3 linked regions of the Macaca mulatta genome follow. The protein of the gene in region 3 interacts with the protein of the main gene of each other region in a biochemical or structural test. Links are inferred from orthologs where the notes say so. Each region holds a gene or a part of one and is shown on either strand. Other genes may lie near its edges. The genes, in order: H1-1, TAL1 and EP300.

Region 1 (2,669 bases), on a different chromosome or scaffold from region 3:
AAGCGAGCGAGCTAGGCCTACCTGGTGGGGCTTTCAGAGGACGCCAACGTGGGCGCCAGTCACGCCAGAAGGGTCACCGTCATTCCCAAGGACAGACACCTCTCTAGCCACTGCTGCGGAGAGGGCGTGATTAAGCCATGAATTTTGCTTACTATCCCAGAAGCATTTCTTAGGACCACCCAATTTCGGAAAAGGCTACTTTAGCAATATTGACCCAAGAACGCAATGTCCGCACTTTAACCTTGCATAATAAAAAAGCCTCAAGCCTGGGACTAGGCTTCAACCTTGGTTCGTTACAGTTATGACTAATTAGCTTGGGGTCGTGAGATGCGGGACTTCGGGCTACTTAAAAAAAAAAAAAAAAAAAAGCAAAACAGGTGATCTAAAATTCGACTTTAACTCGGTGCATTTGAATTCACCTTGCTATCTTTGATAGCCTCATCTGGCAAGAATTTACTACTCAACCTATGTTAAAGTTCCTATTGACTCTCCAAGTGATTCTAATATAAATGAGGGCGTATTGCATTTGCTTGGGGGAATTTCATCTGTGTACTACAGCTCTTTTCCCGAAGTGTGTAGGTGGCTCTTAAAAGAGCCGTTGGGTTAGTAAAGTTTCCAACCGAATTTACTTTTTCTTGGGTGCCGCTTTCTTGGGTTTGGCAGTCTTTGGCTTCGTCACCTTAGCCTTGGCCGCCTTGGGTTTTATAGCCTTAGTTTTAGCAGGGCTTTTAGCTACTTTCTTGGGTTTTACAGCTTTGGGTTTTTTGGGACTCTTAGAGGATTTCCTTGTTGCCGCAGACTTTTTAGCATTTTTTGGAGTCTTGACGTTCTTTTTGCTAACCCCCGTGGCCTTTTTGGGCTTTTTAGACGCACCCGTTGCCTTGGTTTTTGCAGCCACCCTTGAAGCGCCGGGCTTGGTTTCCACGGAGGATGCCTTCTTGTTGAGTTTGAAGGAACCCGAGGCGCCGGTGCCCTTCGTCTGCACCAACGTTCCCTTGCTTACCAGGCTCTTAATACCCAGCTTAATGCGGCTGTTGTTCTTCTCCACATCGTAGCCTGCGGCCGCCAGCGCCTTTTTAAGAGCAGCCAACGACACACCACCACGCTCCTTAGAGGAGGAAGCAGCCTGCACGATCAGCTCTGACACGGAAGGGCCAGCAGGCTTTTTCTTAGTGGCCACCGCAACCTTAGCAGGTTTCTTTGCCTTCCTGCTAGCTGAAGGTTTCTCAGGAGCAGCAGAAGCGGCGGGAGCGGGAGGCGCCGTTTCGGACATGGTGACTAATACAGCACACCAAGTAAACTGGTATAAACCTGACCAAGCAGGATGCGAGAAAAAAAAGGCCCCGACTCAGCCTATTTATAGGGTGGGACTGCGCAGTGATTGGTGCCCGTCAGTGCCCGCCCCTCGCACCCTAGCGCCCCCTGCGCTCTGCAGAGGGTTTCCCCCAGTCTCAGAGAGCACCTGGGGGCCTCTAGGGCCTATGGTCCCGCTCCCCTCAACGCAAGCAAACACACCGAAAAAGCCGCTCCGATTGCCTCATTGTGAAGGAAATTGTAGGCCGACTGCCACCTAGTAACATCAGAGGGTGCCGCTTGTCTCTCAAAAAGCAGCTCTGTTTTAGGGAGTAGGTTGATGGGGAGCGGTTTGCAAATGCAGCCCCACAAGCATCCAGGGAGTTTTATTAGAAAGTTTTAGAGGTCCGTTGCCAGATATGTTAGTTTTTAATTTGCAAGAAATGTAAAATACAGTGTTTGAATAGTTGGGGAGGAAGAGGAAAGTGCGGGTTTTAGGCCGTGTTAGGGCTAGTAGTCATCAACTCGATTACATTTTCTGGCAATGTTTTAGAGCGATGTGTCTCGCGAATACCTTTCACGTCAAAGAAGAATGAATCGTAGACAACACCAGAATTCACTAACGCTGCAATTAATACTCAAACTGCAAGTGTGGAAACGTTTCTGCACTTGTAACTTACTTCCACAGTCCAATGTGGGATGCACTTCAGGAATTTCCAATGCCCTTTTCATCCATACAACATGCCCCAAATGGGTGTTAAGGTTTACAACCTGTGTTCCATGTCAGCACATGCAATGAGAGCACCATGACATGGTGAACTCATTGTTTTATTCAACAAAGATTTATGGGCCTCACAAACCTGCGAAAGGCGTTAAATGCTGGGTCCAAGAAACTGGTTCCCCGACAGGCATTCTGCTGGGGAGTTAAGTCTCCTTAGTGTGAAAACAAACGGTAAGTGTAAGCACACCCTGGGGATAAGATTTTATGGTAACCTCTCTTTAGCTTGTTTGTGGCTGTTAAGAGCATTTCAAATTATCAATAAGCTAAAACGATCTCACATTGCCAATCAGAGACTCAGCTAACGGGAGAACAAAAAAAACTATTAAATCGACATCCACTTCTACAATCCTATTCTGGATAACCCCCTAACACAGCGGAGAGTGAGGGAATGCGGTCTATTTCCGTTCGTGCTGTTGTAGTTTTTAAATAAGTCCGAACTGTGCTAAGTAACCTGAGCTTTTTCCCTTTTTCTTCAAACAACGTGTCAACCAAATAATTGTAGTAGTCCCAGATAACTATTGTACCCATCTTCTTTACCAGTGTTTCCTACGTCTATTTTATTGAGAAGCCACGCATTCAAATATTTCACGTAATT
Region 2 (3,652 bases), on a different chromosome or scaffold from region 3:
CAATTTCCTTATCTGTGAAATGAAAACAGTAATTTTGCCCTCATGAGTTTGTGGTAAGGAATAAACAGAAACCAAGCACACATAGTCCATGGCACATAGTAGGTAACCAATACATGGTGGTAGCAATTCAGCAACAGGAATCCACATCAAGTCCTAACTCTAGATCTTGCATTATTTCTACTTCTATGGACTCTTTTGGGTTCAGTCTCTAATTTCAGTGTCCCCTAGACACACCCTTTACCTACATGTCTGCCTATTCCTCTGTGGTTTTTTCCAGAGAACCCCCCCGTCTCCCCACCTTCCTCTTTCCTGAATCTGTCTACCTCTCCTGGTGTCCTCTGCCTCTCTCTCTGGCCAGCACTGAGTAGATGCTTGGTAAATATTGCCAACACTTATGGGTAATGACTGCCTTACACTCCTGCACACCCCACAAACCCTCACCCCTGTGCTCTGCCTCCTCTGCCTATTGTAGAAAATGCCTCATCCCTGGGGAACTTCAGGGCTGGTCCTGTCTACTTCTTGTTTGGTACACCCACCTCTCCTACACTAGAGAACTCCCCTCTAATCTAGAGCAAGGCACCCATGCCTCTCAGCCCTGCACACCTGTGCCCCAGGCTGCTTGGGTCTTTTGAAGTCTTTTCTGTTGTCCAGACGCCAGCCCCTCTCCTTTCCAGAACACCACAGAGGGCTCCACCTCCAGCTCCATACCCATATCCCTCCCACCAGTTTGCAGCATAAATCTCAGCCTGGCTCTGAGGCCTTGGGGAGCCTTCCTACAGGAGCCCCAGGCCATAGCCAAGCTGAAGTTCTGGGAGCTTCTGGGTCTGGCTCAAAGTCCCTCAGCTCTGAAGTACCTGCTCTCCTACCCCTGGTGCTGGGACCAATCTACTATACAAGGTCAACCTTGGGAAGACAGTGAGGGTCTTCCAAATCTCCCATTTGTCCAAACCATCCCTGCAAGTTCAGGGAACATTCAAGTACCTTAAAGGAGCAGTGCCAAGGCCCTTCTCAGGGAATCCAGGGGGCAAGGTAGAATCCATGATGTCAGGAAGGGAACTCCAGGTCTTAGCCCAGAATGTGTTAATGGGAGACAAGGGGAGCCTACTGTGTAGGGTCCTTGGAGGAAACCCTTGATGACTTCATTGCAGGGAGGAAGCAGACTCCAGACTCTAAGGAAGACTTGGGAGGAAGTGCAGGGAATCCCTGAGGGTCAGTGCCTACAATGGGGGGTTTGGGGACACTGTGTGTTTCTGCGCTCACTTGGGATCCTTGCCAAAGTGTAGGAATGGAGCCTGGATTGGGGACTGGAACTAACTCCAGAGGTTTGGGCTAAGCACATTATGTGTCTCTCTTCCATGTCTCCTCTTCACGGGACTGTGAGTGTGGTCCTGCTAGCCCCACGCAGGACTTTACCTAGCCCCAGCTCAGCTGCAGAGTGAAGGGCTTCGGCAGTTTGGGTTTCGAAAGTGGCCCACCCACCTTTGTGACACCTACAGAGTAGCCTCAGATGTTCCCTCCTGCAAAGGGCTCTAACCAGCGTGAGGGGCAGATACAGCGGTGGGGTGGGGCAGACTCACCATCAGTAATCTCCATCTCATAGGGGGAAGGTCTCCTCTTCACTCGGTTGTTGGTGGTGAACATAGGGAAGGCATCCGGCTCCCCAAAAAACCCGCTGTCAGATGGACCAGGCAGATCACAAGATCCCGTGTTGCGGGGAGGGGAGAAAGAGGCTACTTAGGGATCCTCCCCACATGTGTTGAGTCCCCCACCTCTGGGCAACCCTGCTCCCTTCACACCTGAGCAGTGAATATGCTGCACACAGATACACACACACGCACGCACACGCACACACAGAATGCCCTCACTCTGTCATGAAACAAGCAAAGGGAGGAGGAGACACCTTAACCACGCATCCCCCCACACAAACACACAGGCACACATGCAGAAGCAGAGGTGAATAACACATGGAACAAACACACACACACACACTTCACAGATAGAAACACTCTCCATTCTCCTGCCTTGGAAACAAGCACACAATCCACACACACCTCCACTCCCAAACACGTGCCCACTCAGGCAAAGGTAACCTTCACACCTGATGGTGTGCATCTCTGTCACCACAAAGGGGCACACTGTCCTCTCCCCCCCTCCACCTCACCCCACCCATAAGGGGCTGTGGATACACAACAGACAGGAAACCCTGACTCCCCTTCGCTGAAATTCTCCCCCTAGCTCTCTGCCCTCACCCACTCTAAGCTCTCCGTAGCTCTGTCTCTTGGGTGCCCGCCAGACTCACTGACTGTCCCACACTCTATCCTAGCCCCATCTTCCGGATTCTATTCCAACCCTACCGCTTCTCTCCGTCATCATCACAGTGGCCCCAGCGGGGAAACGGATGCCCTTACAGCAACTGGAGTACAGGCTGGGGCCAGAGACCACAGCTAGCAGCAGAGGGGCTGGGAGTGGAGGGGCAGATCAGACCTCAGGCGGGCCCTCCAGCAGAGATTCGGGGGAGGGTGCCTCTGCCACCATCCTCATATCCTTATCTCTTGCCTGTCCAGCTAGCGCTGCGCTTCCGAATGAATTTCACACCCTCAGCCACAAACATCTACCTCTGCTCACAGCAAAGCACATGCAGGCACATTCTTTCCTGCTACCCACGCTCAGGGGACTCCCTCCTCTCCGTCCCCCACAACACCACCACCCAGCACACCAGCCACACGCTTGCACCCCCGAAGGTGTCCACGCCCTCCTGTCGGCTTCCACACAGCCATGCACCCGGCAACCACACGCACACTCTCTCTCACAGAAGGCCCCTCCCTCACTGGCACTCACGGGGGGCTCCAGCTTAAGACTCTAGAGCCCTTGGGTTTAAAATGACCTCCTCTGCCTGCGCTCCACCCGCTCGGCCCCCGGGGCAGGAGGGCAGGCCGCCTCCGCTGTGCAGAAGGGAAACCCCGGTGGGGGTGGTCGCCCTGCCCACCCGCCCCTCCCGCCCAGCCCCTGGCCCCTGGTCCCTGGTCCCTGGTCCCTGGTCCCTGACCTGCCAAGCGAGGCCAGCGGCTGGCTGAGACTGTAGAGCAGCGCGCGGCCGGGGGCGGCGGGGGCAGCCAGCGCGGGAGGACTCAGCTGCACCATGCGGCCGTCGCCGGGCAGCTCCGCTGGGGCCGAGGCGGGCGCGGGGGCTGGGGCGGGCCCGGGAGGTCTGCACAGCTCGGTGGTGGGGACCCGATGGCGCGCTTCGGCCGCCGGCGCGTCGCGGCCCTTTAAGTCTCTCGCGGCACCGCCCCCACTGGCAGGGCCGCCCCCCGGGCCTCCGCGCGCGCCCAGCTCGATGACTGGGGGCTCCGCGGGGGCCGCGCGGCTCGTCTCCTTGGCGACGCCGTTCAGCAGGACCAGGTGCGGGGGGGCCATGCGGGCCTCGGCCGCGTCCCGTCCCTCTAGCTGGGGGTCACTGTGAGCCGCCTCGGTCGGCGGCCGCTCGGTCATCCTGCGGGCAGACAGACAGACAAGCGGATGCCCGCTCTGACGACCGCCCCTGACCCACCGACGTGGGCTGGGGTAAAGGGGTGAAGGGCAGAGAGAGGAACTCACACACAGAGACAGAAGAGGCAGACAAAGTTAGCGCCACGTGGGGCTAGGGCGGGAG
Region 3 (3,652 bases):
GCAACCTCCACCTCCCAGGTACCCACTACCACGTCTGGCTAATATTTCTATTTTTTTGTAGAGACAGGGTTGACCTGTCTCTGACCACCACGTTGGCCAGGCTGGTCTCAAACTCCTGACCCCAAGTGATCTGCCCGCCAAGGCCTCCCAAAGTGCTGGGATGAAAGGTATAAGCCACCGCGCCTGCCCAAATCTGCAATTTTTCAATTTAATCTCTAAGTTTTAAAGCTCAAACTGTTTGAAAAAGATTCTTTAAATATATGTAAAATTTATGTGTTACACTAAATAATATACTAAATAAAGAGAAGGACTGTGTCCCCTTGTCATACCCCTCTACGTACCTTCAGACCTCAGGATACAACATGAAACATAATGGTCAAAGTCAGAGCTAAATAAAATCTTTACACTCCTGCTACGTTAGGTCCTATCACAGGAATGCAAAACAGGATAAGAAAGTCCCTAATGAAAAACAGATTACACTCTACTTGTGGAGAAAACAGTAAGAGATAAAGCAAAAGAGAGTAATAGAAATGACCCAGAAATAATATAATACTACAGTACAGCTCTAATGATTCTGCCTAAATCAAATCTCTACTTACTGGAGTTGCAGGCTGTGGAGCAAGCAGCGGTGCTGTTGGGGTAGGAACAGACGCTGCTGTGCTCTGCTGTGAGCGAGGCTGCTGCTGGGGCTGGTCAGCAGAAGGTGCAGCAGGAAGTGAAGGCTGTACTTGTTGGGGAAGTTGTGTTGTTGGTGGTGTAGGTGTCTGCCTTGGAGGGGGATGTAGAGCCTGGGACTGTGGTCCAGGTGGCATGGCAGGAGGTGTAGGAACAGGGGCTGGAATTGTTGTTGCTGGTGGCTGCTGAGCCCCTATGCTTGGGGGAGTATGGTGAGGGGTCGGGGTACGACTAGGTACAGGCGAGGGTGAATTCTGATGCAAAGCTGGTTGAGGAAGCTGGGGACAGTGAATGTGGCTCCCCTGAGACCCCGGAGGCATTATAGGAGAGTTCACCGGGCAGGAAGAACTAGACATTTGTGCCTGTTAAAATAAAAAACATAAGATAGCAATTCAAAACAGAATTAAAGAAATACTTACATGGCACGTTATATGAATTTAGGACACAAACTGGTTAAACAAAGAGTAGCAATGTGTCTATTTCAAAATGTGTAAAATACCCTGTTACTGGGGATATAGCTTTGGACAGCACCATTGATACAGTATTTAAGTAAACCGACTTCAAACCACTCAGCCGAATGGCCTCAGCCACTGCAGAAAAACGACAGAATTGAGAGCACAGTGCTCTAGGGCCTGCCTATGCTCTCTTCAGCCAGAATTCCTTCTACATTGTGTTTAATTCTAAGATTTATTTAAAAGTGTTCACTACTAAAAACAAAACCATCCATTTATATTATTTCCTAATTTGTAACAATTAACACCATTGCTATGTCACAGAATAATCTCTTAAGGTTCAGAACACCCTAAGTCTAAAACTGTTATTTTTTAAAAAAATCATCTGTTTTCACCCACTATCTGCTGCCACTCTTTCCTATAAAAACCTACGTCAAGAGAAATTTCAAGAATCAAAAAAAAGTAAAAAATCCACTTATGAGACATACTTGAGACACTGGAGCTTGACCACTGGACGGAGCCAAAGGCATATTTGTTACATTCATTCCCTGTGATGGGAACTGAGTCTGAGGAAGGAACTGGCTCTGGTTGGAAGGCTGTTGCATACGAGGCCCATAGCCCATAGGCTGCAAAAAAACACAGATCACCAAACTGCTTCATTACAGTTATTCTACTATAACTAAAATCATCAAAAGGTCCTAATGTCAGGTTTATTAAGCAAAGTCAAAGACAGGAGTATAGGTGAAGAGGGCTGGAGAGGAGAAGGAAGAAAGTTATAGAACAACTGACTCTTGTGCAGAAAAAGGGAAATAGCCTCACAGTTTACCTAGGTCTACTCTCAAGAAATAGTAAGAGGATGGAACAAACACACATTCTCTTGGTACACAAATATGTCTAGCACAAGGATAGCAGGTAACTTTCTTTGCATGCTCTGTTAAGTGAGGAGAGTTAATCACAATTTCATAAGCTCATGTCAGTGATGTAGTAATAACACAAATTCTAAGACCCATAATATGTAAAAACAAGTAAAATCTTACAAGTTGTGGCAGAATCTGGTAGCATTCATGGTCCACAAATGCTCTAGCAATGCTATATTTCATTTCTAAAATTACCCTACACAAATTCAGGCCTTAAAGAAAGAAATCTCCAAAGGCAAAAAACTTCATAAGACAAGAAGGGGCCCCAAAGGGGCCAAGATTCAGAGGCACCAGCTAACTCTAAAGGGCAGCAGGAGGGTCGGGGTCAAGGTAGAGAGATGAAGTGGTTAAGAGTTCACATAAGGAGCAGAAGCCTAGCCTCTCTTCTCCGAGCTCAAGAACCAGGCAAATGCACCATCAACCTTGCAAAAAGACAGTTCTCTGCCTGGAGAAGGGAAGACAGACATCAGGGAAGAGAGGTGACCATGAAAACGCATGCAGGCCACTAAACATGGACACTCCAGGGACAAGGGCCTGGCTGTTTTCGTTTTTTGGTCAGCTTTCTAGTAGAATTAAATACAGAAGAATTACAGAAGAACTAGGAGTTATGGTCTGTTTAAATAACTGTGAGCATTTATAAATTAGGAACAAACAGGATTTTCAAAATACCAGATAAAGGCCAAAATGATTACTAAAGACGTCAAACTAACCAGGTTGAGCGCTCCAGGCTGAGCCAACTGTCCATGGTGTTGAAGAGGAGCGGTTTGCCGGGGTACGATAGGGGGCTGGGCCATGCTCATCTGGCCAAATTGATTCAAACCTGTGAATATGTGCAAAATATTAGATCTGAACGCCTTTCTGAAACTGAAGAATAAAAGACAGAATTCTTATGTCTGATTCTACATCTTTTTTTGAAACAGAGTCTTGCTCTGTTGCCCAGGCTGGAGTGCAGTGGTGTCATCTCGGCTCACTGAACGCCTCCCGGGTTCACGCCATTCTTCTGCCTCAGCCTCCCGAGTAGCTGGGACTACAAGAGCCCACCACCACGCCTGGCTAATTTTTTATATTTTTAGTAGAGACAGGGTTTCATCGTGTTAGCCAGGATGGTCTCGATCTCCTGACCTCGTGATCCGCCCGCTTAGGCCTCCCAAAGTGCTGGGATACAGGTGTGAGCCACCGTGCCCGGCCCTGATTCTGTATTTTATCAGGACTAATAAACTGGCTTTCAACCTTGTAAGTATAAATAAATATGTCTCACAGCAGTTGTAAACAGACATTATTAACAGGATCTTCAAACCGAATTTTACAAATTTTACAATCTGCTTTTTTTTTTTTTTTGAGACGGAGTCTCGCTGTCACCCAGGCTGGGGTGCAGCAGCAAGATCTCGCTTCACTGCAAACTCCACCTTCTGGGTTTAAGTGATTCTCCAGCCTCAGCCTCCCGAGTAGATGGGATTACAGGCCTGTGCCACCACACTTGGCTAATTTTTGTATTTTTACTAGAAGGCAGGGTTTCGACACATTGGCCAGGATGGTCTCATACTTGACCTCAGGTGGTACACCAGCCTCAGCCTCCCAAGGTGCTGGGATTACAAGCGTGAGCCAATG

The links.
Region 1: of the proteins of EP300 (region 3) and H1-1, one has a biochemical effect on the other in vitro, tested with the Homo sapiens proteins (2 studies listed by BioGRID). The link is inferred for Macaca mulatta from reciprocal best matches to the Homo sapiens genes EP300 and H1-1.
Region 2: the proteins of EP300 (region 3) and TAL1 form a complex in vitro, tested with the Homo sapiens proteins (3 studies listed by BioGRID, with this or other methods). The link is inferred for Macaca mulatta from reciprocal best matches to the Homo sapiens genes EP300 and TAL1.

Annotation. Positions count from the first base shown.
Region 1 is NC_133409.1:157,091,538-157,094,206, reverse strand, and holds H1-1 (histone H1.1), read right to left. Parts: upstream 1,274-2,669; coding exon 626-1,273; downstream 1-625. UniProt on the Homo sapiens protein: Histone H1 protein binds to linker DNA between nucleosomes forming the macromolecular structure known as the chromatin fiber. Histones H1 are necessary for the condensation of nucleosome chains into higher-order structured fibers.
Region 2 is NC_133406.1:193,467,351-193,471,002, reverse strand, and holds part of TAL1 (T-cell acute lymphocytic leukemia protein 1), read right to left. Parts: intron 3,494-3,652; 5' UTR 3,493-3,493; coding exon 3,047-3,492; intron 1,673-3,046; coding exon 1,578-1,672; intron 1-1,577. UniProt on the Homo sapiens protein: Implicated in the genesis of hemopoietic malignancies. It may play an important role in hemopoietic differentiation. Serves as a positive regulator of erythroid differentiation.
Region 3 is NC_133415.1:10,366,136-10,369,787, forward strand, and holds part of EP300 (histone acetyltransferase p300), read right to left. Parts: intron 2,865-3,652; coding exon 2,755-2,864; intron 1,754-2,754; coding exon 1,616-1,753; intron 1,038-1,615; coding exon 600-1,037; intron 1-599. UniProt on the Homo sapiens protein: Functions as a histone acetyltransferase and regulates transcription via chromatin remodeling. Acetylates all four core histones in nucleosomes. Histone acetylation gives an epigenetic tag for transcriptional activation.